2 linked regions of the Canis lupus familiaris genome follow. The protein of the gene in region 1 purifies or fractionates together with the protein of each later gene. This does not show direct contact. Links are inferred from orthologs where the notes say so. Each region holds a gene or a part of one and is shown on either strand. Other genes may lie near its edges.

Region 1 (2,475 bases):
TTAAAAAAACAATCCTTTAATAAACAAAATTAGTCCATCTGAAACTCCTCAATCTGTAGGGTCCTAGTCTTGGATGGGGATAGCTGCAAAATTCCAGTTCCGAAGCTGTCGGAGGCTCAGTGCAGATGGGGACGGTCGGGCCGGTGCTGGTACGGAGGTGCGAGGCCCGCGGAGCGGTCGCCGGAGAGAGCGGGCCGGGCGGCGGGGTTCGCGGGCGCGCGCCTCCTGCAGTCCCGGGGCCCGCGGGGCGCACCGCCCCTCCCCCCCTGGTGGCAGGTCCCCGCGGACGCGTTCGGCCCGAGCCGAGGGGGCGGCAGGGCGGACAGTGACGGGTCGTCCCCGCACCGCGGCGTCCGGAGAGTCCCGGCCCGGCCCGGCCCCGGCGCGTACCTCAGCCCTGCGTCAGCGCGCCGAGCGGCTCTTCCAGGCGGCGCCGCGGCCTCCCCGCGGCCCTCCCCGCGGCCCTCAGCGCGGCCCGGGCGGCTGAGTCACTGGCGCCGCGGCGGGCAGCGGCGCGCCCCCGGCCCCCTCCGGGCCCCTGCGCCGGGCGAGCGGGCGGCCCTCCGGCCGGGAGGCGGCGGGAGCGAGGGCAGGCGAGCCCGCGCGGGGGAGGGGCGGGCCGGGCGGCGGCGGCGGCGGTGACGACGCGGCGGGGGGGAGCCGAGCGCCGCGGCCGCCCGCCCCGAGCCCGACGTGGCTCAGCTCTTTCCGTGAGGGCGGTGGTGGCCCTTAAAAGGGCCTTTGTGGTGGCATGGGGGCCGGCTGCGGCGCGGGCGCCCCTCAGTACTCCTGAGAGGCCTGCGTGGCCTTCTTGCCGCCCGCAGGCGCCTTCGGCCCCACGGTGGCGCTGGTCTTCTTGGGCAGCAGCACGGCCTGGATGTTGGGCAGGACGCCTCCCTGCGCGATCGTCACGCCGCCCAGCAGCTTGTTGAGCTCCTCGTCGTTGCGGATGGCCAGCTGCAGGTGGCGGGGGATGATGCGCGTCTTCTTGTTGTCGCGGGCCGCGTTGCCCGCCAGCTCCAGGATCTCGGCCGTCAGGTACTCGAGCACGGCCGCCAGGTACACCGGCGCGCCGGCGCCCACCCGCTCGGCGTAGTGGCCCTTCCGCAGCAGCCGGTGCACGCGGCCCACGGGGAACTGGAGGCCGGCGCGCGACGAGCGCGACTTGGCCTTGGCGCGGGCCTTGCCGCCGGTCTTGCCGCGGCCCGACATGCTGCGCGAGGTAGAAGAGCTGTGAAGAGGGACGCCTCGAAGGGGGCAACGAACAGCCGCCCGCCGCAGTCCAACTGCTGCCGCGCGCGCCCAGGGGCCGGCCTTATAAGCCCCCAGGGCACACCTCCGCGCCCTCCTGATTGGCTCTCTCCTCGGGTACCCGCCTCCGGTTGGTTGCAGTTAACCCTTCAGTGACGCGCCACGGCCGAGGCAGCGCGCCCGCCGATTGGTCCGATTTGAAAACCTTTTGCCCGGGGAAAAAGGCGAGGAGGAGTGGTAGCACGCAGCCGGCCAACCCCTCCCCGATGTAGCCAATCCTTGCGAAGGGCGCCAGATTTAAACGCTACAGCTGGAGCCCAGAACCGGAAGGCAAAGAGGGTGGAGTCTGGGCCACCTCGAGGGCCTCTGGGAAACCGGTGCGGGCCCGGGATTTTTAAAGGAACGGGGTCGACACCACTCCCTTCCCTTCCTGGTCTGGTCATTCTTCTCTCCTTTCTCCCTCCTCCCATCCTGCAGAGGGAAATGAGAGAGGGAAGAAATGGGAACCCCTCCCGCTGCTCCCCCTAAAAACTTCTGTTCGGCACCAGAGAACAGGCAAGTCCAATCTTAGGGCTCTCCCTGCCACCTGAAGTATGAGGATTTCAGGGCTTATTCAACATGTTCTATTTGGTCTGTTCTTTCTGTTGACTTCTTGTTACAAGGAGCCCACTGTGCTGAAAGAAAAAAGATGGGCAGAGGGATAGGCATCCTCTTGGAGGAGGTACCTCCACCAATCCTCCCGATCTACCCTAAAATGCCCAAAATATACTTACAGGAACACCAAGAAAAAGACAACACTTTATTGTCACCACTGGGAGCACCTGGCCCCCCAATCTGCTCTTACGAATCAGAATACTTAATTTATGGTCAAATAATCAAGTGATCTTCGAGCCTGTGTCCCTCTCCCCAGCCAGGGTTCTATCCCCAGGCCCAACATATTCCTCGAGAGTCCGAGTGGTGGATAACTGCATAAAAAGCACAGTATCCCACTTTGGGAGGCCGCAGGGATGGGATAGAGAGGGAGAGCAGCAAGTTGAAGAAAGCCACAGGCAAAGTCCAATCAACAGTCAGTACAGGGCAAGACAGGCCCAGGATGTCGATCACAGCGGAACGGAATCGCTAAGTACAAAATCTGGAGAAAAGTAAGAGGTGAGAGAGGCCTGGGCCCGGAAGCTTGCCTGGCCCAGAAAGAGGCAGGCCTGAGTCAGGAACCCTGCAGACTAT
Region 2 (4,280 bases), on another chromosome or scaffold:
CGCAGTGTGGCAGTTCCTAAGTTAAACATAATTACCATGACCTAGCAATTTCACTCCTAGGTATACACCCAAAAGAACTGAAAACAAGTATTCTAATAAAAACTTGAGCCAAATATTCATAGCAGCACAACAGGCCAAATGGATATAACAAAAATGCTCATCGAGTTTATTATGGTGACATGTGTTTAACCACCCTGATCTTAGTACTCATTCCACTACATAGGTCTATCAAATACACTTTAAAAACAGGCAATTCTGGGGGATCCCTGGGTGGCTCAGCGGTTTAGTGCCTGTCTTTGGCCCAGGGCGTGATCCTGAAGACCCGGGATCGAGTCCCACATTGGGCTCCCTGCATGGAGCCTGCTTCTCCCTCTGCCTGTGTCTCTGCCTCTCTGTCTCTCATGAATAAATAAATAAAATATTAAAAAAAAAATAGGCAATTCTATTTGTCAACTATTTCTCAGTAAAGGTTGGGGGGGTTTAAGTCCATCAACTGATGAGTAAACAAAATATGGTATATATTCAAACAGAACGTTATTCAGCCACACAAAGGAATAAAAGTACTGATCAATAATACAACATGGAAGACAATGAAAAACAGGTTTCGTGAAAGCCAGACCAAAAAAGCTATATTGTAGGATTCCATTTATATGGAATATTTAGAATACAGAAACCCAGAGATGGAAAGATCAGTGGTTGCCCGGGGTTGCAAGGAGGGAAAGGCAAAGTGTAACGGATAGTCTCCTTTTATAGTGATGGAAAAGCCCTAGAACTACACAATGGTGACAACTGTACAACTTGTAATGGTATTTAATGCCACTTAATTATACATTTAGTAAGTTTTGTTGCATATTTTACAGACTTTTTAAAAGATTTTATTTATTTATTCATGAGAGACAGAGAGGCAGAGACACAGGCAGACACAGGCAGAGGGAGAAGTAGGCTCCATGCTGGGAGCCCCAGGCGGGACTCGATCCTGGGACCCCCGGATCACGCCCTGGGCCAAAGGCAGGCGCGAAACCGCTGAGCCACCCAGGAATCCCCCAAAGTCCACCTGTTTTATAATTCGATTTACATGAGATGTCCAAGACAGGCAAATCTAGAGGCAGAAAGTTGATCAGTGGTTGCTTGGAGCTTGGGGTGGTGGTGCACAGCGATGGGCAAGTGCCAACCTAACGGCTAAAGAGTTAGGGGTGCGGTGGTGGGGGGGGGTGTTCTAAACTAAGATTGTGGTGATAGCTGAACCCTGTGAATGAATATACAAATAAACACTGGGCAGTACATTTTAAATGGGTGAATCACGCAATATATGAATTCTATCTCAATGCCAAAACAACAAAACGACAACAACAACAACAACAAAAAAACCCCTGCTTGGATATAAACCTTGCAACTGCAACTTAAAACTGACATTATTCTTATAGTGGTTCCAGCCCATTTCTACTCCTTCACCTGTGTTTAAAAAAAAAAAATCAGGATCGCAACAGTGTAAAAGTTTTGTTGTTTTTTGTTGTTGTTTCTTTGGTTACTCTGGAATCTAATTACGTTGAGAAACTAACTGCAACTTCATACATTCTATTACGCACAGACTCTTGTCATGCCAGTACTTACTGTTGGGAGTCAGATGCGCCCTCCTAGCGAGCCGGACGCCCAGAGCTCGGAATTACTCGTTTGCCTTATGAAAGCTCCCTACCTGGAATCACTTCTCAAACCCGACTTTATAAATTCCAGAGCTGAGACCTTGGACTTCCATGCCTTCCGGATCCCGCCGCGGAGTGTAAAAACTCCAGAAAGCCTTTGCTAAACGCCTGCTGAAGTGAGGCTACTGAGCATGCCCGGCTCGGCCAAGTCGATTCAACAAGACATTCCAGAAGAAGAAAAAAAAAAAAAAAAAACTATAGTTCCCGCGTTAAAAGAAGGCAGAGAAATCCGAAGAGACAAGGAACAATGCCTGAGAATTCCAACTAAAAGGCAAGGCAAAGGTTCAAGGGGGCTGAGCAGACGTGAAGGGCAGAACCAACACAGCTCAAACTTCGAACTTGGGTCAAGTGGCGCACTCGGAACGCAACCCCCTGCCCCCCCCCCAAAAAAAAAGAAGAAAAAAAAAAGGGCTAAAACAGATGAACGGAGAGAGGGGAGGTCAACTGGGGGTGAAGGGTACCGATGACGTAGGCTGCCCAGACGTTTTTCTAAACCTGCCGTCTCCAAAACTAATACGAAGGTGACCAAGCCCAGCGTCCACAGTAATAAAAGATACCGGGGGATGAAACTCGCTTCCAAGTTCCCTTCCTACAATGGAAAAGGCCGAGCCGTGGCCAACATGCAACAGCCAACAACGTCTGCTAAGCTCTCCGCTCCTGCCTGCAACCATTTCCACCGCCATCTTCTAGATAAGAAGCCAGAACCTTTCCCAAAGGGCTTTTCAGCAGCATCACCTCCGAGCGGCGAGCCCGGGTCGCCCGGACGCGTCAAGGAGGAAGGAAGCCTCCGCCTTGCCCCCTCTCCGCGCCCGCTGGAAGCGCACAGCCGCCCGCCGTCCTCTCCTCGTCCTCTCCCCCGGCGAGACCCCCGGGCCCCAGCCCAGTTTTCCAAGGTCCGGAGCCAGACGGGCGCCAGGCCCCGGTGCGCCGGCCTCACCTGCACACGCCGCGGATGCAGGGCTCCAGCCAGATGCGGTAGGCGGTCTCGATGTGCTCCTGCGACACCTCCTCGGGCCGCACCGTCTCCGCCCAGCGCCAGGCCGCCTTCTCCAGCTGCAGCCGTGGGGCCATGGCCTTGGCCCGAGGAGCGCCTCCCGAGCCGGGCCGTCGCCGCTGCCGCCGCTGCCGCCGCCCAAGTGGGCTCCGCCACCTGCCAGCAACCGGGACCAGGCGATTCCTCAGCCAGCTGGCCAGTCAATCACCTGTGCGCGCCACTGCCGCCGCGCCCGCCCGCCCGCCCGCGCCCGACCCGCACGACCGGCCGCAAAGCGCCGCCGCCGACACCCGACACCCCCCGCGCCCGGAGACGTTGGAGGTGTACTCTCCGCCGCTGTGAGCGCATGCGCGTTCCCAGCAGCCTTCGCGCCTCCTCGCGCCTCTCGCCGGACGCGCCGAGAGGAAAAGGAAGCGGCCGCTCGAGCTAGTGTTGCCACGTCCTCACCGGCGCTGCTGGGGAAGCAGCGTCTCAGCTCTCGCACAGGCCAGCGTCCTGAGTACCACTATCCTAACGAGTCGGCGCGTCGAGAGCAAAAGGCTGCCTATTCTTGCTCTCTGCTACTTCCCCTTTAACCTTGAAGGAGTCACGCGAGAAGCTACTCAACGCACATAGGGCCGCTGGACTGCGGGGGTAGGACCTGAAACCGGGTCACCAAAAAAAAAAAAAAAAAGAGAAAAGAAAACCAGGGCCGGCTCGCTACAAAATGATTAAACTTGAGCCTGGACCGGTTCCGACCCCTTTCCCGAGCCCTCCTGACGTCACGGGACGTTCTGGCCTTTTCCTGAACTAGGGCTGGACTACGTTTCCCGGCGTGCGTTGCGTGCTGTCACTCACTGGACGCTAGGCATGCTGGGATTTATAGTCCTGGAGGTGGAGGGGGCTTCGGGTGAGGGCTGCTGGGTGCGGTTTTTCAGGCTGGGAGGGTCTTCTTTGCAGCTGGCCGACCCTCCCGGCTGCTGTTCTCTCTTTCTTGATGACTGCTTAGTACTTTCCTGAAGCTCCCGGGTTTAGAAACATTTCCTCTTTACAAGTCTTGCCCCAGGATATGAAGACTAGCCTCATCGAAGTGTTTTGCAAACTATTAAAAGCACTGCTAGAGGGAAGATTTTGGGGGACTTTGCATTTGAATGAGAGCCCGCCGGGGGTTTAAGCACTAATTACCAGCTGGATAACCTTGGACTTGATGCTTAAAGTGACAAACATTTGCAGAAAGCATGACGTAGATAAGACGTGGTCCCCGCCTTTGGGGGGTGGGCGAGGGGAGTGCAGTAGAAAGAGAGATCCCCTTATCAGCCTTGGAAGTTTGCAGGACTCGGGAAATGGCTTACCGGAAGACCTTATCTCTAAGTACATCTTTTTTTTTTTTTTTTTGTCTAAGTACATCTTTAAAAGTTGAGTAGAACTTAGCCAGGAAGGGGGGGGGGCGGGGCGGGGAAGGCACCATTACAAAAGGGAACCACAAAGAGAAAAGGCACAGAAGAAACTTCTTGGTGTCAGAAAACAAATTCTGAGACAGGGAGAAGTAAGCTATGAGAAGCAGGCTGAGACCTTGCTTTTATCTAAGAGATTCCTTGAAATGTTTA

The links. The genes of interacting proteins can lie anywhere in the genome.
Region 2: the proteins of H2AX (region 1) and USP48 purify together in Homo sapiens (affinity purification with mass spectrometry; 3 studies listed by BioGRID). This does not show direct contact. The link is inferred for Canis lupus familiaris from reciprocal best matches to the Homo sapiens genes H2AX and USP48.

The regions. Positions count from the first base shown.
Region 1 is NC_049226.1:14,790,639-14,793,113, reverse strand, and holds H2AX (histone H2AX), read right to left. Parts: upstream 1,316-2,475; 5' UTR 1,213-1,315; coding exon 781-1,212; 3' UTR 624-780; downstream 1-623. UniProt on the Homo sapiens protein: Variant histone H2A which replaces conventional H2A in a subset of nucleosomes. Nucleosomes wrap and compact DNA into chromatin, limiting DNA accessibility to the cellular machineries which require DNA as a template.
Region 2 is NC_049223.1:76,790,616-76,794,895, reverse strand, and holds the start of USP48 (ubiquitin carboxyl-terminal hydrolase 48), read right to left. Parts: upstream 2,901-4,280; 5' UTR 2,772-2,900; coding exon 2,638-2,771; intron 1-2,637.